Callithrix jacchus: one gene and its partners. The protein of the gene in region 3 interacts with the protein of the main gene of each other region in a pairwise test. Links are inferred from orthologs where the notes say so. Each region holds a gene or a part of one and is shown on either strand. Other genes may lie near its edges.

Region 1 (3,640 bases), on a different chromosome or scaffold from region 3:
TCTTTATTTCTAAGCCTTCCCAAGGGTGCAGAGTCACCCTCCAAACTCCAGAAAGGAGCGCTCTCATTTCAAGCCAGCGGGGGTTAGGGGACATAGGGAGGGAAGGCTCACATCAGTGATCATTCAGCTTACCCAGTGGAGCTATGAGTTATGGGTTTGGAACCATCCTTTTTGTATTTGAATCTTAACTCTGTCCTTCACTACCCATGTAACCTGGGGCAAGTTGTCGAACCTCTGAGTGCTTCATTTTCCCCATCTGTAAAGTGTAGATAGTAATAGTGACTGTCTGAAGTGTTGGTGTGAGGATTGAATGAGATGATGCCCATAAAGTACTTGGGACAGGATCTGGAACATGTCAGTGACCAATATCATTATTAGTCAATTGTTAATAAAAGGATCACTGGCCGGGCGCGGTGGCTCACGCCTCTAATTTCAGCACTTTGGGAGGCCGAGGCGGGATCACAAGGTGAAGAGATCGAGACCATCCTGGTCGACATGGTGAAACCCTGTTTCTACTAAAATTACAAAAATTAGCTGGGCATGGTGGCACACACCTGTAGTCCCAGCTGCTCGGGAGGCTGAGGCAGGAGAATTGCTTGAACCCAGTAGGCGGAGGTTGCGGTAAGTGGAGATCGCGCCATTGCACTCCAGCCTGGGTAACAAGAGTGAAACTCCATCTCAAAAAAAAAAAAAGGGATCACTTATATAGATTTTTAGAAAACCTGTTCTAATTAAGATCTGAATTCTATAATTTATGTCTATACATGGATCCTCATGAAGTGGGTGAAAGCAGTTTTTTCTAATTGTTTAAATACTTGTTTTATTATCTTACCTATATTGTAGTCTCTGTTAATGACAAAGTAGTGCTAAAAAAGGTAAATGTTAATGTAGCTCCTAATTTGTCAAAAATTCTGATTTAGTAGAATCCAAATTGAGATTGATTGTGGACTGGGTGTAGTGGCTCACGCTTCTAATCCCAGCACTTTGGGAAGCCAAGCTGGGAGGATTTCTTGAATCCAGGAGTTGGAGGCTGCAGTGAGCCATGATCATGCCACACTACACTCCAGCCTGGATGACAGAGTCAGACCGTCTAAAAAACAAAAGGGTCAGGAGCAGTGGCTCACGCCTGTCATCCCAGCACTTTGGGAGGCCAAGGCAGGTGGCTCCCTTGAGCTCAGGAGTTCAAGACTAGCCTGGGCAACATAGCGAGACCCCATCTCTACAAAAAATACAAATTAGCCAGGTGTGGTGGCACATGCCTGTAATCCCAGCTACTTGGGAGGCTGAGGTGGTGGGATCGTTTGAGCCCAGGAAATGGAGGTTGCAGTGAACCTAGATGGAGCTACTGCACTGCAGCCTGGGGAATAGAGCAAGACTCTGTCTCAAAAACAGAAAAAAAAAAAAGTGGCTGGGCATGGTCACTCATACCTGTATTCCTAGCACTTTGGGAGGCTGAGGCAGGCGGATCATGAGGTTAGGAGTTTGAGACCAGCCTGGCCAACATAGTGAAACTCTGTCTTAAAAAATAAGGAGCCGGGTGCGGTGGCTCACGCCTATAATCCCAGCACTTTGGGAGGCCAAGATGGGTGGATCACAAGGTCAAGAGATCGAGACCATCCTGGTCAACATGGTGAAACCCCGTCTCTACTAAAAATACAAAAATTAGCTGGGCGTGGTGACGCATGCCTGTAGTCCCAGCTACTAGGGAGGCCAAAGCAGGAGAATTGCTTGAATGCAGGAGATGGAGGTTGCGGTGAGCCAAGATCACATCATTGCACTCCAGCCTGGGTAACAAGAGCGAAACTCGGTCTCAAAAAAAAAAAAAAAAAAAGGAAAGAAAAAAGTAGACATATCCAAGTCACGGCACCAAAAAAAAAAAAAGAAAGAAAAGAAAAGAAATTGATTGTTTATGAATTAAAAGTAGTCCCAAGTAGAAAGTTTCTCCCGAAATAAATTTCACAATGACAGAGGTGGTTTATTGGGCAAATGAGGACTAGTTATTTCATTTTATAATGCAAGCAGTATAGCTAGTTTTACCAAAATATTAATCTGTATGCTTTTCTCTGTAGTCTTCCTTTTTTCATCAACATGGGTGTGCCACCAATGACACCAATGCCAAGTACAACAGTCGCACTGCGCAGCTCTATAGGGAGAAAATCAGATCACTCGCTTCCCAAGCAACACGGAAGCATGGCACTGATGTAAGTCACTGGAGGCTGGATTGTTTCCTTTAGATACACGTTTGCTTAGTAGAAAGTGATTTTTATCCTGAATAATAAAACGTTTCTGCCTGAGTTGTCTTACAAGGAAATAATGTACAGTAGATTATTATTATTTGAAATAGTTATGTTCTGCGTGAGCACTGGATTAGTGAATACTGAAACATTGCTCCTAGGAGAAATACAGGATTAGGTTCCTATGAGCTTCTGGTCTCATTTTCGTCAGCTGATCGATACATAACCTTATTTAACATGTGTTTCTATTTAAAGACACCTTTTTAAATATGTATTGATGACTCATGAATATTGAACTCACAGCCAAGGAGTATAACTCAGCCCTGAATGAAGCTTATTTAACACCTGGGTTTTTTCTCCGTAAGACACATCATAGCCTTCATGTGTTTCATGGGAACAAACGTTAGATAGCCCTTCAGTACTGCACTTGAGAGCCGTCTTAAACAATGACATCCTCAGTAAAAAGCACAGAAATATGAAGGACGTAGCACTAAATAAAACTACAGAAAGGGCATTTGTTTATGAAAACTGAAACAAGAAGGCAGAGTGTGTCTTGTTCCACGTCAACTGGGAACGTGCTTCTTGGGGAACGCATGTTTTGCTGCACTGTTCTCCCAATGACTGAAAACACCACGAGGACTGATTTTGGGGTTAAAAGTAAATTTTAGCAAGTAGGTAAATTCCTAAATATGAAATCCATGAAAAATGAGGATTGATTATCATTTAGAACCTGCATTTAGATATGAAGTCCTTGATCTTTCCTTTTCAGAAATGGTTTGTGTATTTGAGGTACTTGACTTCCTCAAGGTTCAGAAGCAAAATTTACTGGATGATAGATTACTAAAGTGCACTCAGAGGTCCCATGTAGGCATGTTACCGATTTTATAAGAATGGAAAGTGCCGTGCTTGCTTCAGCAGCGCATATACTAAAATTGGAAAGATACAGAGAAGATTAGCATGGCCCCTGCCAAGGATGACACGCAAATTCGTGAAGTGTTCCATATTTAAAAAAAAAAAAAAGCCGGGCGCAGTGGCTCACACCTGTAATCTCAGCACTTTGGGAGGTTGAAATGGGTGGATCACCTGAGGTCAGCAGTTGAGACCAGCCTGACCAATATGGTGAAACCCTATCTTTAAAAAAAAAAAAGAATGGAAAGCGCCAGTCTTTAGGAAACAGGTCTCTATAAGGGAAGTGAAGGGTATCAAATAAAACCCTTTACAGGCCAGATGAAATGCTTAGCCCCGTGTTGTGTTTTTGTTCTAGCTGTGGCTTGATAGTTGTGTCGTCCCACCTTCGTCCCCTCCACCAAAGGAGGAAGATTTTTTTGCCTCTCATGTTTCTCCTGAGGTATGTATTATGCTTCACATAATTTTAAAGTGTGCTTACTCTGACAGTTACAAAGGTA
Region 2 (4,172 bases), on a different chromosome or scaffold from region 3:
CAGGCTCAGAGCAAGGTGAAGCCCACCTGAAGGAATACCAAAGTGACAGCAGCAGGAATGGTTTTAACTATGCTCATATGAGAATACACACAACACACACAGGTCCAGTCCCTCGATTCGTGTCTAACAGGTTGCCCAAACCAACTATGGTGGAGATGATTTCACGGTCTTCAGATCAGCCATCTTGACTCTAACTGCTGCTCTGCGCAGACCCACACTTCCTCCAGCCTGCCTTACTCCGGGTTACATGACCACTTCACTTTTCATTTCCTCAGGGGGGTCGTCTGAAAGGACTGAAATGTAGGCCAGGAGCCAATGCTGATGGAAAAAAAACAAATCAGCTGTGCCCAACCCCACTCAAGTAACTGGACATGTACCCTGATGGATGGTTGTCTGAAGGCTCCAACCCCAGGGCGCCAGAGCCACAGTCACCGGAAATCCCTACCCTAATGGTTTCCAGCGTGACTGCATGCCCAGCATGAGGTGAGGCCTGAGGGTGCAACCATGAGTGAGCAGACAGCCTGCCACCTTCCACCTTTGTGAACGACTTGGTAACAACCACACCAGAATTTGTCTGAATCTATCTTTGGAAAGCACAAAGTTGTTCTGACAAGGTCTCAGAGGAGTGCAGTGGTGTGACCTTGACTCACTGCAATCTGTACCTCTCAGGATGCCTTAGCCTCCTGAGTAGCTGGGATCACAGGTGACGGCCACCATACCCGGCTAATTTTTGTATTTTTAGTAGAGAAGGAGTTTTGCCATGTTAGCCAGGCTGGTATTAAACTACTGACCCCAAGTGATCCGCCAACCTTGGCCTCCCAAAGTGCTGGGATTACAGGTATGAGCCACTGCGCCCAGCCTAAAATACTTCTTTTTGATGCCTGCCTAAGAGTGGTTAATGGACTGGCTTTGCAGTGTAACTCAGACTGTGGAGTTAAAACTTTTGCCAAAATCTATCAATCTATAAATAAGCCAAATGCCTTCCATTTACCAAGCACTCTGACTTCCAAAACACTGCCAAGAACATATCCAGCTGACCACCTGGGTATAAATGTTTAGTCAACCCAAACATCTAAAGCGTGTTTTACTCACAGGCTGCTAAGGCATATATACAGGTTCAAAAGCAACAATATGGCATGTGACAGGGTTAACTGGTAGGTTAACCAGGCACCCAAAGTATGACCCACCCAAATGTATGGGTTCAGCCTAATGCTGTCAGCCCACTGGGTCCTGAGTCATCTCTCAGGTGAAAAGTGAGAAGGGTATGAGATGTAGGGACTGTTCACATGCGGATTAATCTAAAAAGTGCGACCAGAGGCATTACTGACATCCCATAGGATTCCGGACCCTGGCTGTGCCCCAGCCAAACACACCCCAGAGATGGGGCTGCTGGAACAGAGAATAGGTCCCCTCAAAGGTCTGCATCAGGCCTTCTGCAGGCACACTGCCCACGAGGCTACACATCCTCAAGTTCAGGGGGTCTTGGAATAACTCCTGTATTGCACAATCCCACTGACAAGTACGGAAAATTAAGTTACTTTAAAATTATGTACAAACTTGGGCTGGGCGTGGTGGCTCATGCCTGTAATCCCAGCACTTTGGGAGGCCAAGGGGTGGGAGGCGGGGAATCACCTGAGGTCGGGAGTTTGAGACCAGCCTAACTAACATACAGAAACCCTGTCTCTACTAAAAATAGAAAATTAGCCAGGCGTGGTGGCACGCGCCTGTAGTCCCAGCTACTCGGGAGGCTGAGGCAGGAGAATCGCTTGAACCCTGGAGGTGGAGGTTGCAGTGAACTGAGATCATGCCATTATACCTGGGCAACAAGAGCAAAATTCCATCTCAAAATAAATTTTTTTTACAAACTTGAAGATGTCAGCCAATCTTTCAATACACTTGTGCCCACATGCATATTCTTCTGTTGTAAATATGACAACCCAGAATGTTCTAATCCCATTTTTTTTTTTTTTTTGAAATCTACCTTGAGAATGTTAAAGGACAGCTCATGAGTACTACTACTTCATGGGCCTCTCATTTTGCCAGCATCTTAACCCTGTGGGACTTTCATTTGCACTCAGTCACCGCTCCAAGGCCTAGGGTCGCAGTGCAGAGAGAACCCCCAGCGGTCAGTCATGACGGCGGCCGCGAGGTGGAGGGCAAGCCCCGCTCCTAGCCAGGCCACTCCCCCAGCTCCACACGGCATTCGGGTCTTTCTGACATTATCCCCCACGCGTGCAAGACGCATGGGCAGCCTCTGACTGGGGAGCCAAACATCCTCGGACAGGGCTGCGAAAGAAAGAGCATGGCCTTTGTTTATCTCGGAGACCTCAGGCGCGGAGCAAGCCGACACTCGCCCGCGGCCCCGGCCCTGCCCCGCCCCCTCCCCCTCCCCTCCCACGGGCCGCGGCCCCCATCACGCCCTGCCCCTCCCCTGGGCCCGCCTCCCCACGCCCCACCCAGCCCTTCGCGGGTCCGCTCCCCGACGACCCTGCCCCTTCCCGACTCCGCACCCCCGAGACCGTGCCCCGCCCCGGGTCGGCTCCCCTGTCCCCTCTTTCCCACCCCTCCCCTCTCCAGACCCCGCTCCCCCACCCCCCGACCCTGCCCCTCCCCCAGGTCCACGCCCCACTGTCCTCCCCAACCCCGGCCGCGCTTGTCTAGTGGCCGTTGGGTTCTAGCGACGACCCGGCGGCGGCAGGGCTTGCGCGCGGACCCCGCGGGGGCCGCCACTTCCTTCCGCGGTCGCACTTGGTCTCGGTAGCCGCGGGGCCCGGGTCCTCAAACGGCGGGTGGGGACGGCGGGGCCTCACCAAGATAGATGTCTCCGAAGGAGCCGCTGCCAATCTTCCGACCCAGCCGGTACCTGTTCCCGACTCTCAGCTCCATGGCGGCGGCGGCCCGGTTCGATCCTGCCCTCCCGGCCGCTTCCTGGGTCTGAGCTCCGGGAGGCGGCGCCACTGCTGCCGCTACTGCGGCTCCGGCTGCCGGCTCCGCCCCCCTCACGGCCCCGCTTTCACCATCGCTTTCCCGTTGCCCCGTCGCTCCCAGCGCCTCAATACGGGGCGGATGGGACAGTCCAAGCGCCGCCGCCGCTGCTCCGGCCCCTGCCGGCGCCGCTTGCCCTCTCCCCGCCGCGGATGGACTCGGATCTTCGGGGCCTAAATCCCCTTTCAGCAGCCTGAAGGAGCCGCCGCCATCGCGCTGTGACGTCACTTCCCTTGGCAACCCCCTGGCGGGTGGGGCCGCAGTGCTCGAGGGGCGGGGGCGGGTGGGGCGAGCGCTCCCAGCCTCCTCGGACCCTGCACCGTCTCGCAGGGCCCCAGTCCCTCTGCCCGCCCATTATCCCAGGACCTCAGGCCGCCAGCCCCTTCCACGTGCAGGCTCCTACCGCTCTCACTGGGGCTTTTCGTGTGTCCCCCGAGATTTCGGGAGAGCCAGGTGAGTTCCTGGAGACAGGCGGTGCCCTTTGCAGGAGGGAACAGGTAGCTGAGGCCCGGCCCGGAGGACACAAGTGAGACCTTCTCACTTGGCTGCCAGTTCCCGGGCGTGGGGCATCTCAGGACGTCAGCGGCTTTGCCTCCTGACACCTGAGGCCAGAGACAGAGAGGCCCGCACCCTGGGAGGTCCTGATGTCCAGCCTGAAGGATGAGGACGAGGCTACCACCTTTCACAAAATGAGGACAGACCACCTGCCTCCCACCAGTCCCTGCGGCCTGGAGACCGAGTCAACATTCTTATCTGTGTTGGATCTGAATATTCCTCCTTGCAAAAGAAAACAAGGATGTGCACGTTCAGGCTGACGGTCAGCTTCAAAGATTGGGGCCTTTGATTCCCATCACTGGGAAGAAAGCCCTCCAGAGAAGCCCCCCCAGGCTGCGGCGCATGGGGACCATGAAGAACCAGTCCCCGTGGTCCCATGTCCACCTGTCTCAACCTGTCCCATCCTTGCTGAAACTCAAGAAGGTGAAACAGGTGAATTCAGGGCTCTGGTGTGGGCACCGTGGCCTAAGTGAGACAGAAGCCTCAGCTGGCATCTGGGTCACTGCAGAAGAGGAAAGCAGCCCCCGAAGGGCCCTGCAGTGGCACCCACCAGTCTCCATCCCCGTCTTTCCTCTCCACCCCTCAGCTCCCATGGAGGTAGATATCCCGGGGAGGCAGATATCCATTCCTGA
Region 3 (3,640 bases):
AGGGTCCATAGCTTTTATTAGATTGTGAAAAGGGTCTGAGACACAAAACTGGTTAATTGATTGTGTACTAATTTAAACTGAGGTCCCTCTTACCTTGTGAAATCTTACAAAGCTATAAATAGAATTATAATTTTAGATGAAAACCAGGACTAAAATTATTATCCCTAATAAGATCATTTGAAAAGCATATTTTGTACAAAGGGGTACCATCATGACCAACAATGCATTCAAGCATTGGCTGAAGAACTTCACTAGAAGCCCAGTCAGGATTTGCCATAATTAGCATTCATCACACCAGACAATAGACATGTAACTACATGTACTAAATTTAAATATATCACAGATATTTTTGTTCTGCCTTTTTATTATAAGTGCTTTAATGGGCTATCAAGGTAAGACTGCTACCTAGGATTACATGAAGTGGAAACAACTCAGAATAGTTTGCCAGCAAATAAAACTTCTTTCTCACAATTTTCAAGATATTCATCCAAAATCATTTTGGTTGGAACTAGTGGATGGCTGAATAGCACTGTTCTTATACTAAGCATACGATTATAAAAGACGCAGAAATAAAAGTCATTCTGCTTACTCACTTATCTCCTTCCTTCCTTCCCTAATTTAATAAATGTTTGTAAATTGTCTAGTACAAGTTGGAAACTCTCCTAGACACTTGTGAACTATCAGTAAAAAATGTAAATATATTTCACTCTCATGGTGCCTACATTCTAGAAGGGAAAAATAAAATAAACAACATACATTAAAGTAAGCATATTATTTATTGTATTTAAAGGTGATGAACACTTTGGCAAGGAAGGAAGGAAGGAAGGAAGGAAGGAAGGAAGGAAGGAAAGAAAAAGACTAGGGAGACTGGGCACACCAGAAGGAAGGAAGGAAGGAAGGAAGGAAGGAAGGAAGGAAGGAAGGAAGGAAGGAAGGAGGGAAGGAGGGAAGGAGGGAAGGAGGGAAGGAGGGAAGGAGGGAAGGAGGGAAGGAGGGAAGGAGGGAAGGAGGGAAGGAGGGAAGGAGGGAAGGAGGGAAGGAGGGAAGGAGGGAAGGAGGGAAGGAGGGAGGGAGGGAGGGAGGGAGGGAAGGAAGGAAGGAAGGAAGGAAGGAAGGAAGGAAGGAAGGAAGGAGAAGGAAGGAAGGAAGGAAAGAAAGAAAGAAAGAAAGAAAGAAAGAAAGAAAGAAAGAAAGAAAGAAAGAAAAGAAAAGAAAAGAAAAGAAAAGAAAAGAAAAGAAAAGAAAGGGACTAGGGAGACTGGGCACACCAGAGGTGAGGAGGACACCAATTTTACATAGGTTAGAGCTAGTTCCATTTTAAATATGGAACCTCATATTGTATTAGTTCCATATTTAAAATGAAAGTTATAATATCTTTGGTAAAATCTTATTTGTGTCCTATATTTGTCAAAAAAAATTCAGTCAAAATTCTTCTCAGAATTTTAAAACTTACCTCAAAAGTATGATCTCTGATTGGTATGTGTTTTAAGTCTCTCAGTTCCCACAAACATGTATTTGGTAATGAACTGTTAAGTAATATGCAAATATGCCATTTAATAAGAGATGATGTCACTATAAAGAAATCAAGTAAAAGAACTCTATTTTGGAAATTAAGAAATTAGGCACAAAGAGATTTGTTATTCCAATGAAGAGAAATTTCAAGACTTATAGTTAACATGAAAGCACTCATTCTTTCTGAAATGTCACACTGTTCCTTTGGCATTTTAATAAATTGTTTGTTTCATTAGCTTTCTTCCAGAAATTGAAAAAATCATGATAATTGTACCATTTGCATGGCGTTTATCTGGGTTAATGCCTGAAGAAAACAAGACCTATATAAAGGTAGCACTTTTTCACAACGGGAGGGTCAGGTAGCCATTTCCCACAGTAAGCATCTTGCTCCCGCCTCCAGGCCTCACATGAAAATGAACCATGATCTCACCAGCTTGTAAATGTAACACAAAGTGTACACAGCCATACCTTGCCCAAGTGGTCCTTTTTGACAAAGCCAGTGGCTGCTGCAATGTTCCCTGCTCCCTCCACTGTCTTCTGGGCTACTGCTGTCACACCCGTCACCACTGCTCCTCCAACATTTGTCACTTGCTCTTTGGTCTTCTCAGCCACTGGTACAAATCAAGAACAACAACAGATTAAAGGGTGGTAGAGTAACACTGACTTAAAATCATTCCACTTCCACTAGCCATCAACTTCTATACACCTGTATTTACACATGCCAAAGACAACTGAGGGGTCAGAAGAAACACAGTAACCAAGATTTCCAAGTCAGTGTGGTTCAAACAAACACTGAATCTTGGCTAAGATGTTTTTGCTATAATCATGCAGTATTAAAAGTGCTTCAAGTTTAATGATCAGGAATGTAAAGCCATGAGTGATTTGGATTTGCTTTATCCTAAGGAAAGTTTAGAGAAAGCAACGCTTACAGGTGCAGTTATAGTTGAACCAGACTCAGTATGAATACTTCATTATTTCAATTCAGTGTCAGTCCTTTGATCTCACACAGCAAGTTTATTTCCATCACACCTTCTTAGCAACACAGTACATACTTCTGAGCTTTTTTATTTTATTATTATTTTTTTGAGACGAAGTTTCACTCTTGTTGCCCAGGCTGGAGTGCAATGACATAATCTTGGCTCACTGCAACCTCCGCCTTTCAAGTTCAAGCAATTCTCCTGCCTCAGCCTCCTGAGTAGCTGGGATTACAGGTGCCCTCCACCACATTTGGCTAATTTTTAAAAATATTTTTATTTTTAGTAGATACAGCATTTCACCATGTTGGTCAGGCAGATCTCAAACTTCTGACCTCAGGTGATCCACCCGCCTCAGCCTCCTTTACAGGCATGACCCACTGCGCCCAGCCCATACTTATCAATGTGTTCAGACACGGTATTATCACATATATATGATTAATAGTATAAGAGATGGCTGTGAAGGAACTTGGATCTTTTTATAGAACTTCAGGTAGTGAAACAGAAGTGTTCTTAAAAAGCAAAATTTGCAGTTATTTTGATAGGCGCAAAGGAGCTAGACAGTATGAAAATGAAGAGGCAATTGAGCACCCTAACAATTTCTTTTCATTAAAGAAAATGTGATATGGTCATTCAGTAGATTTATTTTAGAAAGTTAATGTTTTAGAAGACAATGTAAATAATTTGAATTGGGTTTATAAGCGGAAATTTAATGTCATGTCAAAAATTCTCTTGTTCAGTGAAATCAGCCAGAAACAGAAAGGCAAACACCACATGATCCCACTTATGTGGAATCTAAAGAAAAAAAAGAGTTGATATCATAGAAGCAAAGAGTATAACAGTGGAGGCAAGTGGAGGATGGGGACAGGTTAGTTATATTCTTCCTTAGGTGCTCGTCTAAAAAAATGAAGGCACATTTTCTTGATATGCTTTGTACTCCCCAGATAAGCCACAGTCTGAGAGGAGTTACACCATGTCAGCTGTTTAGTGCTATTCACATGATTACTGTATAGCTTTCATCTCTCCAGTTGAAGAAGCCCATAGTTAAATGGTGTGGGCAAAGCAATTTGTTTTCAAATACATTATGTATGTCATAGAAGCTAAAGGTCTGTAAGGACAGGAGGCTTTCTCTTTAATTCAGGCAATGTGGGGAA
Region 4 (3,640 bases), on a different chromosome or scaffold from region 3:
TGATTTCATGTGCTAATTTGTGTTTGAATTATATGTATAATTTTTTATACATTTTTACTTAATGCTTTGTAATTATTTAAAATTATGTCTGAAACGCAATGATCATAAGAAATGACATGAACTAGTGGTACTGTCATTTTCCTATGGTATTGAAAACACTGAGATGAACTAACATTTCTGCTTTATCTCCCTAGATCTACTGTAACCAGATAATTGTTCTTTGTTACGAACCCATGGCAGGCAGTACAAGTATAAATTATACAGGACTTAGAATTTCTTCATTTAATTTCACTGAACAGGAAGAAAAACTTTTTCCTTTACCGTTTCAGATGCACTAAAAGCACAGGTGGTAACTTCCAGATTTCTATCTTTTTTAGAGAATCCCGTCGAGCTCTGCAATGACTGCAGTAAAATCTGTTGTTATCTGTGAGTTTTTCTTCTTTGGAAAATAATCTAAGGCAATCCTGGCAGAAAAAAAACAAGTAGCAGATACTCATTAATTCATTTCTTCAACAGTGTCAAAGAGCATCTATTTAGTCACTCTGCAGGCACCAGTGATTCAATAAACTACACAGAAGAGTTCCTGCCCTCCCAAAGCTTGTGATCTAGTGAGGAGTGTAGACAAGTGAACAAAGACAGCACAGTGAGTGGTGAGTGCTATCTACAATGTGTTGTGACAGGACACAGGAAAGCCCCTAACCTGATCAATCAGGGAAAACCTGTTGGAGGAAATGATATTCTGGAGGTTTTTAAGACTAAAGGTATCAATAAGCTATTATATAAGAAACGTTGTTGATATACAGAAAATAGGACATTTACTTGCTATCCCCATGTAAAAAATGCTTATGAAAAGTAGGTCTAATTTGAAGTCAACAGACAACCTTCCAAATTGACTTATAAAACTTCTTAAAAACATATTAGCAATTCTGAAAGAATATTTAATAACGGTACTTTAAAAATTTTTCTAATTCTTTCTCATCTACATAGGCCTAATTATAAAACAGAATTTATATTGAGTTTTACCGATAAAATGTTTATAAGAGTAAAGACCAGAAATAAATTAAACAACATATATCTCTATATCCATATAAACAGCATTTTTATCCAATAAATCATTTTCTATCTTAAATTTACCTGTAATGTACATTTACTTGTGGATGCTAGCGGTAGAGACAAATACATGAAGGCCTCAAATGTCCTAGACTTTTTGTGACAGGTGAGGCACTGTACTGTAGATTTGAATTGACCCTGAAAAAGTGCAACAATTATAGACTCATTGAGCTGCTTGTGTTTCTGCCAGGCATGTTCTGCAGCTTTAAAGTCATCGAGATGATCATTATTTTCTTCTTTATATCTCTTCCGATTATCAGCCTGGAAATAAGATTATTTAAGCTCTATATTAATATCTCAAAAGACAATACTCAAATATAAAATGAAAGAATAAAAGTAAATGTAAACACTATGCAGATTTAGAAATACTTGTAGTTCTCACAAAAGAGTTGTGATCTCATTGAGTGTGGCAAAAATAATTCTAGCCAAAAATACTGAAAAAAACCCACTTTATCAAAGAATGTGACTTGCTGAAATTTCCCAAATTTTTATTTAAAAAGCTGAAAAGGGTCAGACCTGGTGGTTCATGCCTATCATCCCAGTATTCTGGTAGTCCAAGTCAGGAGGATTGCGTGGGGCCAAGATTTCGAGACCAGCCTGTGCAACGGTGAGAATCCCATCTCTAGCAGAAAAAAAGCTAAAAAGGTTGGTTTTGAAAAAAGATATCCTACATATAGCTGGGAATTAAGGCTACAACTAGACAGATAAAATTTTGTTGCTGTAACCTCATGATATGTATAGATACATATTTGTAAGTGTATTGTGCATATATATATATATATATATATTCGGTGGTAAGAATGGTGACCCCAAAAGCACATGTTAAAAAGTGCTTAAAAAAAAAAAAAAAGCTGTAATATACAAATGGAGGGTGGTCATTTATATATAGATACATGCCTCCATAATAACTAGTCACATGAGTCATTTGGTTACATGAAATAATTCTCTTTTTTGGCAGTGGGGGGGACAGAGTCTCACTCTGTTGCCCAGGCAACAGATTGTGCAGTGGTACAATCTCGGCTCACTGCAACTTTTGCCCAGGTTCAAGCGATTTTCTTGACTCAGCCTCCTGAGTAGTCGCGATTACAGGTGCGTGCCACTGTTTCTGGAAAATTTTTGTGTTTTTAGTAGAGATGAGGTTTCACCATGCTGGGCAGGCTGGTCTTGAACTCCTGATCTCACGTGATCCGCCAGCCTTGGCCTCTCAAATGCTGGGATCACAGACATGAGCCACTGCACCCAGCTGAGTAATTCTTATTTTAGAATAAACCATAAGAATAGGGCATGTTCCACTTTCAGCAAGGGAATGGGAAAAATAATAACATACATATATTACATATGTGAAATTATATAACAAAGATGCTCAAACTGTCTATAATCTTTTATAAGATCAATTGCTTATAATTTTACTTTCACATATGTGGGTCACAAACTCCAAAAACTGTTTTAACATTTGCAAATTTTTCAGCAATACTGCTTGTTAATTAGTAATACCAACTGTATATGCTTCAAATATTACAAAATTACCAGATGTTTTATAATTCTCTTATACAGTCATTATCTGAATAAACAAGTAGTGAACTGTCACCAACTAGAATTTTAAATTGCTATAAAAATACAGTGCTACAGAGCAACCCTAAACAGTCTCTGAAACTTAGAAAAATCAAATTTCTTACTTTATTTAGATCTTCATGGAGGCCATCCATTAGGAATAGAAGCAGTTCTTGTGAATCTTGCTGACTGTATCCTGCAAACTGGTCATTGATCTTCCCAATGGTGATTTTAAAGTCTTTTGGACTGATATATCTATACTGTCCTGTCCACAGGGCTTTCATGATTATACCAAATTCTTCTGCCACTTCACCTTTATGCCCCAATAAATTTGACCTGTGCAAATAAAAATTACAAAAGACAATAAAGGAAGTTTAAAAGTTAAGTAAGGCACAGTGGATTCAAGACATCATTCACAAATTGTAGCGCTACATTAAACTACATATTTACTTGCAGGCTTACCACCAGATTCTCATCTGAATCTGACTTGCTTACATCCCTTCAGCTTCCCTCTTTTGGCGGCAAGCCCTGCATGGTCTCATCAACAAACTCCAGTTAATGACAGTGAGGTTCTGCCTTCCAGCACTGCTCTCATCCTGTCTGTCCTTTACGAATCAGAGAAGGTTTTCTCTAGATTACTCTCTTTTTGTGAGATAGATAGGGTCTCACCCAGGCTGGTGGAGTACAGTGGCACAGTCATAGTTCACTGTAGCCTTGACCTTCTGGGCTCAGGTGATCCTCCCACCTCAGCCTCCCAAGTAGCAGGGACTATAGGCATGTGCCACAACACCTAACCAATTTTTGTAGCGACAGAGTTTTGCCTTGTTGCCCAGGCTGGTCTCAAACTCCTGGGTTCCAAGGGATCCACCCTCCTCAGCCTCCCTAAGTGTTAGGATTAGCAGTGTGAGCCAGAATGCCCAGCCTTCATTATTCCTACAAATAAAGATATTTTCCCCTTTCTAATTTGACTTCTCTGGTG
Region 5 (4,068 bases), on a different chromosome or scaffold from region 3:
AAGATCGTGCCACTGCACTCCAGCCTGAGTGGTAACAAGAGAGAGGCTCTATCAAAAAAAAAAAGAGAGAGAAAAAGAAAAACGTGTCCACACTTTTCCTATGAAGAGTCCGGGATAAATAACGGATTGCGGCTGGGTGCAGTGGCTCATGCCTGTAATCCCAGCACTGTGGGAGGCCGAGGCAGGTGGATCACCTGAGGTCAGATCAGGACCAGCCTGGCCAACATGGTGAAACCCCATCTCTACTAAAAATACAAAAATTATCTGGGTGTGGTGGCAGGCGCGAGTAGTCCCAGCTACTTGGGAGGCTGAGGCAGAATAGCTTGAACCCAGGAGGCAGAGCTTTCCGTGAGCCAAGATCACGCCACTGCACTCCAACCTGAGCCACACAAGATCTCAGTCTCAAATAAAATAAAATAAAAAACTGATTGTTTTGCCCATCTTGCAGGGTCTGTTACAAGGATCTACAAGGCAACAGTTAACAACTGTTTGTAATATGCACCAGGCACATTACACACTTGACAGAGCTCCCTGGATTGTTACAAGCAACACTTTGTAAGTCAGAACCTATGTCTCAGATCAGGCAACTTTCCCAAGACTCTGGAGCTAGGAAAGTTAGGACTCAAATCCAGGTGTGTCTGCTGCCAAAGCCCAAGCTGCTAATCAGTGAGTTCAACCATAAAAGCAGTTTGTGGCTGGATGAGGTGGCTCACACCTATAATCCTGCATTCTGGGAGGCTGTGGTGAGTGGATCACTTGAGGTCAGGAGTCCAAGACCAGCCTGACCAACATGGGGAAACTCTGTCTCTACTAAAAATACAAACATTAGCTGGGTGTGGTGGTACACATCTGTAGTCACAGCTACTTGGGAGGATGAGGTAGGAGAACCACTTGAACCCAGAAGGCAGAGAATGCAGTGAGTCAAGATGGCATCACCGCACTCCAGCCTGGACAACAGAGTGAGACTCTGTCACAAAGAAAAAAAAAAGCAGTTTGGAGGCAGTAGGTTCAGCCAATTTAGGACTTGCTACATATGATTCCTCTTTGACAAAATAAATGAGATGTACCCAGGCGTGGTGGCTCACGCCTGTAATCCCAGCACTTTGGGAGGCCGAGGCGGGCAGATCACCTGAGGTCAGGAGTTTGAGGCCAGCCTAGTCAACTTGGCAAAACCCCATGTCTACTAAAAATACAAAAATTAGCTGGGTGTCGTACCACATGCCTGTAATCCCAGCTACTCAGGAGGCTGAGGTAAGAGAGTTGCTTGAACCAGGAGGTGGAGGGTGCAATGAGCTGAGATCATGCCACCGCACTCCAGCCTGGGCGACAAGAATGAAACTCCGTCTCACGCACACAAAAAGAAAACAAAAAGAAAGACAAGGAGTGAGATGTGATGATCTCTAAGATGGATCTGATCACATCCACCCCTAAAATTCCATGACCGTAGGTACTCACTGGACCTGTTTCCAGAACCCACCACAATGCAGCTTTGATGGTGTTAACTGCTCCATGCAGCCCAAACTCTCTGTAATTTCTACACCTTTCAAAGGGGAACTGAGACGTGAACCATTTCAGGACTTGTTCATTTCAACACAGAATTCCCAAATCTCATCCCACAACAAAGAGATCCCAAACCCCACGACATCCAGGAAAGGGTCCCAAACTTCCATCCTCGCCTTGTACAAGGTGATGTTTGAGGCATGTGGAAAGTGCAGTGTGGCCACAAACAGGTGGACATAGTCACTGTTGAGACCACCCTCGTAAATATTCTCCGCGATGATCTTGCTGACGAAATTTTTGCCGGTGCCCGTCCACCCATGCAGGGAGAGGGTGAGAGGTTTCTTGGGCTTTGGGTTGTTTATGAAACCAAACACAGCATTTAAGATGATTTTCTTTGCAAGATGCTGTCCAAAGAGCTTGTTGTCCAGATCCTTCTGCAGCGCTGGAAAGACAAAGGCAATCGGGAGTGGGGAAGAAAGAGTGGCAAAAGGTAGCCACATCTACAGCCCATGAGAAAGCCGGCAAAGCCGCCTAGGCGCTCTTCAAGCACCTTGCGAAACCTTAAGTACTACGGGCTGTAAGCTCCTGGCCCAGTGCGGACGGCGGTCCAGGGCCTCCCTTTGCTGGTCCTGCCTATTCTAAAGCCCTGGCCCGGCTCCTTCCCGAAAAGGGCCTCGGTGCCCATGCCACAGCCACCAGTTTGCACCCCTAACTTCTGTGCTGCTCCTCCCACCCCAAGGCAGAGCGAGGAAGGGAGGCAGTTTGGCCGCTCCTGTCGGCTCCGGAAGAGTCCTCACCATCCTTCCTGTCTCCCGTTCTGCTAGGAGGCAGAACCCCCTTCGGAGGGAGGTTACCACCGGTTCCCCCTCCTGCCCAGCGTGGCGCGAAGCAGCCCAACCTGCAGACCGGCTCCTCTGGTCACCGACTGAAGTCTGGCCCGTCTGTGGTCGTGGCCAAGGAGCCAGGCCTCATCCTGAAGGCGGGCCGCTCGGCTTCCGGGGTTCAGCCCCCGTGGACTCAGCTCTGCCCAGGCCCGGCCGTCCTGGGATTTGACCCCTATCCGGGCCGGGCCCTAGTGCCATCCCCCATCCCCCAGCCTCCATCCCCAGGTCCTGGCCTGGCCCCAGTGCCATCGCCCAGCCCCAGCCCCAGCCTCCAGCCCCCTCCCCATCCTACCCTCCCGGCTGAGGCTCCGCTTCTGGCCGCAGCACTCGGCGAAGAGGCAGTAGAGACGCGGGTAGATGTAGCCGGTGAGGACGCCGGCCAGGGCCAGTCCCAGGCTGATGGGCTCTACCGCCTGCACCACGGACGGCGCCAGCAGCAGCAGGCCCAGCGCAGCCCGGCTCAGCTTCATGCCCGGACCCGCGCCGCCCTGCGCGTTCTGGCGCCGACCGCGCACTAGTACCGCCGCCAGACTCGCGCTTCCGGTTCCTCCTGCCGCGAAGGCCATCTTTCTTCAGGGCAGCCCTCCTACCGACGCCGGCGGCCGCCATCTTTCTTCGGGACAAAGCCTTGTTTTGCTTCCGGAAGGTCTGTTCTGCACTGCCCTTGTCGGCCACGTGTTTTTGTTTGTTTGTTTAAAGTAATCGAGGTTGGCCAGGCGCGGTGGCTCAAGCCTGTAATCCCAGCACTTTGGGAGGCCGAGGCGGGTGGATCACGAGGTCAAGAGATCAAGACCATCCTGGTCAACATGGTGAAACCCCGTCTCTACTAAAAATACAAAAAATTAGCTGGGCATGCTGGCGCGTGCCTGTAATCCCAGCTACTCGGGAGGCTGAGGCAGGAGAATTGCCTGAACCCAGGAGGCGGAGGTTGCGGTGAGCCGAAATCGCGCCATTGCACTCCACCCTGGGTAACAAGAGCGAAACTCCGTCTCAAAAAAAAAAAAAAAATTAAAGTAATCGAGGTTATTTTTGCGGGCGTGGTGGCTCACGCCTGTAATCCCAGCCCTTTGGGAAGCTGAGGCGGGTGGATCCCCTGAGGTCAGGAATTCCAGACCAGCCTGACCAACATGGTGAAACCACGTCTCTACTAAAAATATAAAATTAGCCAGTGTGGTGGTGTGTACCTGTAGTTCCAGCTACTGGGGAGGCTGACACATGAGAATCGCTTGAACCTGGGAGGCGGAGGTTGCAGTAAGCTGAGATCGCACCACTGCATTCCAGCCTGGGCGACAGAGTGAGTCTCTTTCCTCCCCCCGCCAAAAAAAAGGTAATGGACTTTTTTTTTTAGAACAGATTTACAGAAAAATTGAGAAGATAGTACAGAGAGTTCCCATGTGCCACTCCTCCCTGCAATTTCTCGTTACTAAAATCTTTTTTTTTTTGAGACGGAGTTTCGCTCTTGTTTACCCAGGCTGGAGTGCAGTGGCGCGATCTTGGCTCACCGCAACCTCCGCTTCCTGGGTTCAAGCAATTCTCCTGCCTCAGCCTCCCGAGTAGCTGGGACTACAGGCTCGTGCCACCATGCCCAGCTAATTTTTGTATTTTTAGTAGAGAGAGGGTTTCACCATGTTGACCAGGATGGTCTCGATCTGTTGACCTCGTGATCCACCCGCCTCGGCCTCCC
Region 6 (4,370 bases), on a different chromosome or scaffold from region 3:
GTTTCTGTAGCTGCCTGGATCAGAATATTCAGTGTATCAATCATAATCCACGTGGGAAATGTAAGTATTTTTGAAACAGTCTTCATGCCAAGAAGAAAATCTTTGGTTTTGAGAAAGTCAACAGAAGGTACATTTCATTAGCAGTGAGGTCACAGTCAGTCCTGTTTATTCCTATTCTACCAGGAAATGCATCTTTATGTTTCACCTTAAAGTAAGCCAGAATTTAAATAAAGTGGAAGAGTATTATTTGCATTAAGGCGAGTTTAGCACTTAGAGAAAATGTAGATCTGAAAGGAGCAAGCTTCAAGAAAGCTCTTACCTTTAACAGAAAAACAATCACAGATACATACTATTTAGATTTTGATCTCCAACTGATCACTGGGTAAAGTCTACATTGTCTTTGCTGGCTCTGAATTATCTTCACAAACACACAAAATCCATCACTCCAGGGCTTCCTTTTAATCATTGTCACTTTCACCTACCTTTAGCACTGTTCTCCACACCTAAATCCCAAACCGGCCATTCAGATGTTTATTGAAATGTGTCTAATGAGGCTGGGTGCAGTGGCTCACGCCTGTACTCCCAGCATTTTGAAGGCCCAGGCAGGAGAACTGCTTGAACCCATGAGTTTGAGACCAGCCTGGGCAACACAATGAAACTCCATCTCTACAAAAACTTAAAAATTGGCAGGCATGGCACACACTTGTAGTCACAGCAACTCAGGAGGCTAAGACGGGAGGATGACTTGAGCCCAGGAATTGGAGGTTGCAGTGAGCTGTGATGGTGCCACTGCACTCCAGCCTGGGTGACAGAGCCAGACCGTCTCAAGAAAAGAAAGAAAAAAAAAAGAGGGACGGGTGTCTAATTTCAGAATTAGGCAATGCAATTAGTTGAATAAAATAATGTATTGCACACTGTCCACAATTTCTTATGTAATGTACATTTCCTAAGGAAGGCAGGCATGGATTTAGTCATTTATGTTCTAATGCACACTTACTTGCACTATTTAAAGCAACAGCTGGAGTCGGAGAAAACTTTTTTAAAACCAACCTTCTAGTCTCCAAGTCATTACTGGTAATTGATAACTGTTGAATCATCAGCTCCAAAGATCGTATTTCTTCCTTCTTGGAAGAAGAATTCCAGATAAAACTAAACAGAACTGCCCAAACATATTTCATCCTAATAAAGTTATTTATATAACTTATTAGGTAATAATTTATAACTGGGTAATGTTCTTTAGATTTTAAGTGCCTGTCTTCATATAGCTTTACAATAAGGTTGTTTCTCTTAAAATTATTTGTGCACTAGATTAAGTTGAATTAAAATAAAATGTGTTTAACTGTCTTCAAAATAAGACAGGCTATTTTCTTCCCGTAGACTACTGACAGCACGGATTCTGGAAAACCTCTTCTACTTGGTTTTCTGATTCAGTTCAGATTTGTGATTACAAGTCAATCTGACGTAGACGTCACCTAAAAAGAGCTCAGGAAAACTCATAAAATTTGTAATTTTTTCATAATTTGATAACCTTCAAGTCATTCACCAAAAGTCAGACCATGATAGAAAGGGAAGAAAAGCTGAAGAACATTCTTGTTTTACCACAGAGACAAAGACAATGCCAGTTACCTGACCTGAGTCTCCCACTAATGGGTAGCATGTTTACATTTTAACAATAACTTCATAAACAAAAGCAGATATGAGAAGTATTTTCAGTGCATAAAGATTAATATTTTATAAATCCACCTTTCATCTTTCTTCTGGACAGACCGCATCGGACTCCGAAAGTACTTACTGCAATCCAAAGTGTTTTGTAAGTGACACTCCTCAGGAATTAGCCCTAAACGAGCTCACCAAACCCTCCATACATTACGTGGAGAAACCTCCATAATAAGGACATCTCACATAGCATTGTTTTCTAAACATATGGTGCATTTCCATTAATGTTCAGGGTTAGCCCCTAAAGTAACTTTTGCCTTAACAACCCTGGAAGACAGGACCTTTGCTCATCTCACACTTCAAGTGTTCATGAACAACTCTGATAGCCACCAAGTTTCGTTTACAAAATTGCAGCTCGGTCATTCCGGGTTTTACCAAAAAAATCGTAATTTTGCAAAAGGCAGAAGATGTAATCTCGGCAATTATTTACTCTTAATTTTTCTTTCACCTCAGACCTTCAACGAGAGGTTGAAAAGGAAACATTCGAAGGGGCAAGAAGTTTAGATCCATCTGGAGGAGTTTCTGTGGAGCCCAACCATCCTCACCAGGTGCCTTCCATTAGAGTTTAATGCTTTGCTGGGGTTTCCTGAAAGAGCCCCACAGAGAGTGGGTCTCGATGGGTACTGAACCGCACGACCACCGCCGGCCAGGGGATGGAGGAAGGCGAGGGGGGACGGCGGCGGAGCGAGGGCTTCGGGACCCCGCACGGTCCGAGGGACCGCGAGCGAGGAGAGGGGATGCGGGGCCGACTGGCGTCCCCGGCGAGGCTGTCTTCTCGGTAACGCTCAGAGCGGGAGAGGACGGGGGGCGCTTGGAACACACACATTGGGGCCCCAGGCCGGCGTCAGTGAACTGGGGAGCCCAGCGGCGTGGGCCGGGGTAGGCACGGGCACTTTGGCTCCGTCATTGACAGTTGGCAACGGGGGTCCGGTCGGCCGAGGCGGGGCGTGGCGCCGAACCGGGACGCGGGGCGGCGCAGAGAGGCTGTACCTGGCAGGCACCCACGTACCTAGCATGGTCACTGGGCAGGTGGCTGTTGCGCGACAGACAGGGGGCCTACGCTCGCACGGGCAACCGCCCGCACCTGCCACCAGCGGCTCTCCCGAGTTAAATCGTCCAGGCCTCCCCGCCCCCGCGCCCGGCCCTAACAATGCGCACGCGCGGACGGTACGCGGCCCTGGGCCTGCTGGGAGTCGTAGTTTTAATGCGTAGTTTCTTCTCACGTCTCCTCCCCACGTCCCTACCACCGCCCTTTCCGGCTTCAGGCCCAGGAAGCTTACGTCACAGGGGAGGCGGGCAGAGCCCTGCGCCCACAGTGTTGACCAGTCGCTTAGCAACCGGGAGGCTTACCTTTGGAAGCTTGTTGCAGCTCTAGCCACGGTCCTGCCCTCTTCCCGCCCCGCCCCTCCCCTAAACTCCCTTCACCAAGGAGCTGCCAAACATCTGGATCAACCTGGGCACTACAAAGGGTTGAATTTCTACCATTAACGCGCCTTTTGACATTTTTTTCCCGACCTCCTGCTCACATCCGTAAAATCCACTGATTCTTTTACTACACTTTTTATGAGAACAAGATATTTTCTAGGAAGATGGTGGCAGAAAAAGAGACCCTGAGCTTAAACAAATGCCCAGACAAGATGCCGAAGAGGACTAAGCTGCTGGCACAACAGCCTCTCCCGGTGCACCAGCCTCACTCCCTGGTTTCTGAGGGCTTCACAGTCAAAGCCATGATGAAAAACTCAGTCGTAAGTGATCTTCCTGAATTAAATGCACTTGCTCCGAATCAGGGGACACGAGATTTACAGAGGTTGGCCAGCCATAGGATGGACTCTGAGCCCAAGCCCTGGGTGGTCTTTGCCAAAAATGGCAATTACTTGGCAAGTAGCAGACGGTATCCCACAGCGTGTGGAGGGCAGGCTAAGTTGTTAGAATCTTGGGCAAATGATGTACTCTGCCCATTTATAAGCACCTCCCCGATAGCTCACAGTTTGCGCTATTTACACCAGGAAAAAAATCCCCCTTACTTACTAATTCCTAACTATCCCTACTCAGCGAAGAGCCTTATAGTAGGTGAGTTCTTAGAAATCATAAACTCTTGCAAAATTTAACATGAGCTGATATACAACTGAGCTGATATAAACTCAAGTAATCTATAATAAGAAATTTCTTCTCTTCAACCTAGGAAATTTTAGAATACCCTAGCATTTACTTTTACACTTGGCTCTTACAAAATGATGTCAGCTTGTTAGAGTACTGGAAGCCAACTTAATATGAACACTGTTTCCTGATAGGCCTTTTTAGATGATGTGCTTTAAACAATACAAGCTTTAGCTCATTTATCTCTGCTACTAATACAATTCAAATTTGTCTCTATTATTTGTAGTAATAAAAATAAAATATCTTAGATATCATTAGAGAAAAAAGATTAAAAATACATACAGATATTTTAGCTATATACATGATAGTGTATTTTTTAAAAACCTTCCTATTTTTTAAATAGCTTTACACTTGGTATGCTGAGCCAGATTTTGCTACTTAGTAAGCACCTGTCTGGGAATGAGGCATTAAATAATAAATGCAGCTTTCAAATCGGTATAATTTACACCCTGGGAAGATCTGAGTTATTGCATGACAATTCATTATGTTAAATGAAT
Region 7 (4,115 bases), on a different chromosome or scaffold from region 3:
TACACAGCAGTTATACAGTTTTGTTTCTGAATGGCTGTTTTTAAAGACAATCCTAAATTATAACTTAGTTTGACTTAGATTGTAAAGAATCCAAGAGTGAAGTTTAATTGGCTACTATTTTAAAAGCATGTGACCTTATAGATCATCTATAAAATGTGTGAAGTGTTAAATAATTTTTTATATTACACATAAACCACACAAAATGCCTTTCAGTAAGTAAAAGGAACCATTTTAAATACAGGGTACTCTAATTAGATTGGCATAGTTAAGGCCAAAAATATAAAATAGCCATTGCTACCCGTTTATCTTCAACCTTGCCTTTAAGAGGCAAACGAACACAAAACACAGGTGAATCTTGCTTGGTTCTGAGACTGTGAAGGAATTGCCCCCATATTTAAATATATTCACATAACCAGTCATATAAATCTAAATATAAAACCAATCTCCAGTAAGTTTTAAGATGGCACTCACCATCTTTGCGAAAAGTTTTAACATTACTAATGAAGTCTAATCATATCTTTAGAAGGGGTGGGTGTGACAGAATTTACTAAATTGGAATTACTATTAAAATCCAAAAACTGAACATATTCATTTAACCACAAGCCAGTCTTAGTCTTAAATCAGGACTGCCCAACAAAATATTCTGTCAGTCATTCATGATGTAAATTCTGGTGTATGAGATCTATTAAAGTACGGTACACATAAAAAAGTCATGAGACATTTGTTTTGTAATAAATAAGGCAGTGGCCAATTATTACTCATTAGTAGCTTTTTTGAGATAAGCTATTAAGTCTTCCCTTTCTCCCTTCTTCTTAATGCCGACAAAGATCATTTTTGTTCCAGGGATATACTTCTTGGGATTCTCCAAATATTCCATCAGTGTATCCTCTCCCCAGATGATGCCTAAATGATAAAGAATGCATCCATTAAGTATTTCACACTCCGGAGTTTGCCACAGGTTACGTTCATGCGTTTTGTGCTGTTTTATTTAACAAGTGTTCTCCTCTTACCTTTGTTTTTATTGGCTTCAGTGTAAGTGAATCCAGAGGCCTGACCTGTCTTCCGCCCAAAGATACCATGGAGATTAGGCCCAGTCTTGTGCTTGCCTCCCTTTTCCACCGTGTGACATTGGGAACACTTCTGAATAAAAATCCTCTTGCCTTTCTCAACATCACCCATATTGAATTCTAAAAACGAAAGACCCAACAATAATTTTTCTTCAGGTAACAAATACAGTGTAAACTAATGACCACTCTAGTCACTTAATTACCAATCCATTGATAATTTATGTCATTAAATACTAAGATGAATCTTCTTTTGCTTTAATACTTTTTATACCCAATACTCTTTCATACCAAAAACATTTTTTAGGAGCACCTCCTTAAAAACCTGTTTTTGTGTGTATACGTGAAGGAAGGTTAAAACCCAAGCAAGCAAATGGGAACGTAATTCAAACTTCAGTTTCAGAAGATAAGGTCATGATCACAAACAGTCACAGATACGAAGCAGAACAGCGAACATTAAGTGAAAATCACCACAACTGCAACTTTTAAGAAGGTCTAATCATTTAATCGTACTACAATGTAAAGCCACCTCTCCCTGAGGATAATGCAAAGCACAAATGTTTAAAAATCGGTCCTGGGTCCCGGCGCGGTGGCTCACGCCTATAATCCCAGCACTTTGGGAGGCTTGGAGGGGTGGGTTGTCATCACCAGGTCAGGAGAACGAAACCACCCTGGCTAACATGGTGAAATTCTGTCTCTACTAAAATACAAAAAAAAAAAAAAGCCGGGCGCGGTGGCTCATGCCTATAATCCCAGCACTCTGGGAGGCCAAGAGATTGAGACCATCCTGGTCAACAAGGTGAAACCCCGTCTCTACTAAAAATACAAAAAACTTAGCTGGGCATGGTGGCGCGCGCCTGTAGTCCCAGCTACTCGGAAGGCTGAGGCAGGAGAATTGCCTGAACCCAGGAGGCGGAGGTTGCAGTGAGCCGAGATCGCGCCATTGCACTCTAGGCTGGGTAAGAAGAGCGAAACTCCATAAGAAAGAAAAAAAAAAAAAAAAAAAAAAAGCCGGGCGTGGTGGTGGAAACCGGTAGTCCCAGGTACTAGGGAGGGCGAAGCAGGAGAATTGCTTGAACCCGGGAGGCGGAAGTTGCAGTGAGCCGAGATCGTGCTACTGCACTTCAGCCTGGGTGACGGAGCGAGACTCCGTCTTCAAAAATAAATTAAAAATAAAATAAACGGTTCTGATTGTTTCTACCTGCCCAGGGCACAAGAGTAGCTTGACACTACTCCTGCGTGAATTGGAGCGCAGGAGTAGGCTGCACGGTGTCCCCAAGAAATCCCCAACTCTCTTACCGGTGATCCCCCCGAGGTGACCACGAGGTCACCCATCCAGGTCGGTTTCAAGGTGACTGATGAAACCCACGTTTCTAGGACGCCGCAACGATTGAAAGAACAAACATGTGCCCACGAAAAGAACAACCCCTTATTAGAGGAGCAACAGCTTTTGCCCTCTGAAGCAGAAAATGAAACGCTACGCTTCGGTTTTAAGGGAGGGAAGTCTGGCCTATCGTTTCCATAGCCCTTCAACAACCACGACGGAAGAGGACGCGTCTTGCCGTCTCCAGTAACTGACCGAGACCTTAGTTGGGCTTCCGCCCTACCTCAAGCGGTTGATCGCCTGGCTCTCGTTTGACCATAGTCTAGGGTCCTCACGTCCGGCCTTCCCACCCCGCGCGGGCTCCCCTCGAAGGCTCCCCGCGTATCCTCGCGAATACGTGCCCCCCACAGCTCTGCTTCTAACCAGATGCGGCTTCCGCGACCCGCTCTCACCTTTTTCGTGGTTAGCGCAACAAAGACTACCACTCAGAAGCCGGACGTCCCACTCTCTAAGTCCAAGGACACGCCGGTCCGCGCCTAAGTACCAGTGTAAGTGCAACCAAACTCGCTCCGCCCTCCCGCGCCCTGACGTACAGCCGAGCTTGCGGCTACGCAGTGACGTTGCCGCGCTTCATTGGCTCCAGTGCCAATGCTTGCGCCAAGGATCTGCGCGCGCATACCAGCGAGCAGGGTAGGCTGTGCGGCGTGCGTGCCCTTCCTCTCCAGGCCTCTCTTGCCGGGCCGTTACGACAGGCCTTTGGTCAAACGACGTCGCGGTGGTGCCGGGAGGGGTGACGTCACTCGCAGGTCTTTGTGCGCTTGCGTATACTAGAGGGGCGGGGAGGGTGGGGCGGAGTCGGTGGTGGTTTGGCGCGTTACCCTGCTAAAGTAACAGGCCTGGTGATGTAATGAGCTTTGTTTGGGCAGGGCGTTCCGCACGTCCAGGAGAAGACGCCCTAATTCTGGCTCACCTAGAGGTCTCCTAGCTACCGTCTCGTCAGCAGACGACCTTTACCCAGGCTCTGTCATACTAACACTGCTGGCGCCAACAGCATCCCAGAGGCACAGCCTGGAACCAGGAGTTAGACGAGTTGGGCACTTGCTCGTGACCTTGTTCTAGTTCCACCTCTACTGTGTTACTTTCAGTCATCTTCTAGCTCTCCGCTTGTTGGACGCCCCAAGAATGGGGAAGGTGCTGCATTTGCGGTAGAGACAATTATATCTCTGGCCCCTTACCTGTCGGCAACTTTTCTGCCAGCGCCCTCCTCCCCCTCACGTTCGTGTGCAGAAAGAACATGGAAGGTGTGTTGGCACCATCTAAGAAGAAACATGTTTAGATGATTAGAGAATTCTTGGAAATCTAGAGGATTTGCATCCCTTCTGACCTAGGTAAATGTCATGTTCAAGTAAGCTTATGCATGAGGTCTTATTAGAAATAAAGGCGTTAATACCACAGCTTTTAGTTATTATAATTTAAAACTAGATCCCCTTCCTGACATGCTCAGTTCTGTCACTGGTTTTTTTTTTTTTTTTTTTTTTTGACACCTTTACTCCTCAAATTCTAGCCCCATGTTCTGATTAATTTTCATCCTTTCTTGTATTCTCTCCCCTCCACTCCCTCGCCTTGTATTCTATCTGACACTGCCGTATTCAGTCGTATTCATTGGCCGGACAAGGTGATTCACACCTGTAATCCCAGGACTCTGGGAGGCCGAGGCGGGCTAATCA

What was found.
Region 1: the proteins of SNCA (region 3) and ARFGAP3 interact in binary tests that used the Homo sapiens proteins (3 or more experiments, as listed by UniProt). The link is inferred for Callithrix jacchus from reciprocal best matches to the Homo sapiens genes SNCA and ARFGAP3.
Region 2: the proteins of SNCA (region 3) and CSNK1D interact in binary tests that used the Homo sapiens proteins (3 or more experiments, as listed by UniProt). The link is inferred for Callithrix jacchus from reciprocal best matches to the Homo sapiens genes SNCA and CSNK1D.
Region 4: the proteins of SNCA (region 3) and USP8 interact in a two-hybrid assay, tested with the Homo sapiens proteins (2 studies listed by BioGRID, with this or other methods). The link is inferred for Callithrix jacchus from reciprocal best matches to the Homo sapiens genes SNCA and USP8.
Region 5: the proteins of SNCA (region 3) and TOR1A interact in a two-hybrid assay, tested with the Homo sapiens proteins (2 studies listed by BioGRID, with this or other methods). The link is inferred for Callithrix jacchus from reciprocal best matches to the Homo sapiens genes SNCA and TOR1A.
Region 6: the proteins of SNCA (region 3) and PRKN interact in binary tests that used the Homo sapiens proteins (3 or more experiments, as listed by UniProt). The link is inferred for Callithrix jacchus from reciprocal best matches to the Homo sapiens genes SNCA and PRKN.
Region 7: the proteins of SNCA (region 3) and CYCS interact in binary tests that used the Homo sapiens proteins (3 or more experiments, as listed by UniProt). The link is inferred for Callithrix jacchus from reciprocal best matches to the Homo sapiens genes SNCA and CYCS.

Annotation. Positions count from the first base shown.
Region 1 is NC_133502.1:188,977,294-188,980,933, forward strand, and holds part of ARFGAP3 (ADP-ribosylation factor GTPase-activating protein 3), read left to right. Parts: intron 1-2,069; coding exon 2,070-2,201; intron 2,202-3,136; exon of another isoform or gene 3,137-3,242; intron 3,243-3,498; coding exon 3,499-3,582; intron 3,583-3,640.
Region 2 is NC_133506.1:137,905,501-137,909,672, forward strand, and holds the start of CSNK1D (casein kinase I), read right to left. Parts: upstream 2,937-4,172; 5' UTR 2,887-2,936; coding exon 2,811-2,886; intron 2,119-2,810; exon of another isoform or gene 1,982-2,118; intron 1-1,981. UniProt on the Homo sapiens protein: Essential serine/threonine-protein kinase that regulates diverse cellular growth and survival processes including Wnt signaling, DNA repair and circadian rhythms. It can phosphorylate a large number of proteins.
Region 3 is NC_133504.1:107,752,544-107,756,183, reverse strand, and holds part of SNCA (alpha-synuclein), read right to left. Parts: intron 2,124-3,640; coding exon 1,981-2,123; intron 1-1,980. UniProt on the Homo sapiens protein: Neuronal protein that plays several roles in synaptic activity such as regulation of synaptic vesicle trafficking and subsequent neurotransmitter release.
Region 4 is NC_133509.1:38,137,249-38,140,888, reverse strand, and holds part of USP8 (ubiquitin carboxyl-terminal hydrolase 8), read right to left. Parts: intron 2,998-3,640; coding exon 2,787-2,997; intron 1,372-2,786; coding exon 1,135-1,371; intron 465-1,134; coding exon 322-464; intron 1-321. UniProt on the Homo sapiens protein: Hydrolase that can remove conjugated ubiquitin from proteins and therefore plays an important regulatory role at the level of protein turnover by preventing degradation. Converts both 'Lys-48' an 'Lys-63'-linked ubiquitin chains.
Region 5 is NC_133502.1:178,416,297-178,420,364, forward strand, and holds the start of TOR1A (torsin-1A), read right to left. Parts: upstream 2,919-4,068; 5' UTR 2,855-2,918; coding exon 2,677-2,854; intron 1,943-2,676; coding exon 1,677-1,942; intron 1-1,676. UniProt on the Homo sapiens protein: Protein with chaperone functions important for the control of protein folding, processing, stability and localization as well as for the reduction of misfolded protein aggregates.
Region 6 is NC_133505.1:169,264,537-169,268,906, forward strand, and holds the start of PRKN (E3 ubiquitin-protein ligase parkin), read right to left. Parts: upstream 2,831-4,370; 5' UTR 2,733-2,830; coding exon of another isoform or gene 2,726-2,732; intron 1-2,725. Other genes in the region: PACRG (parkin coregulated gene protein), read left to right, coding at 3,306-3,461. UniProt on the Homo sapiens protein: Functions within a multiprotein E3 ubiquitin ligase complex, catalyzing the covalent attachment of ubiquitin moieties onto substrate proteins. Substrates include SYT11 and VDAC1.
Region 7 is NC_133512.1:32,936,084-32,940,198, reverse strand, and holds the start of CYCS (cytochrome c), read right to left. Parts: upstream 2,899-4,115; 5' UTR 2,841-2,898; intron 1,188-2,840; 5' UTR 1,180-1,187; coding exon 1,011-1,179; intron 904-1,010; coding exon 755-903; 3' UTR 1-754. UniProt on the Homo sapiens protein: Electron carrier protein. The oxidized form of the cytochrome c heme group can accept an electron from the heme group of the cytochrome c1 subunit of cytochrome reductase.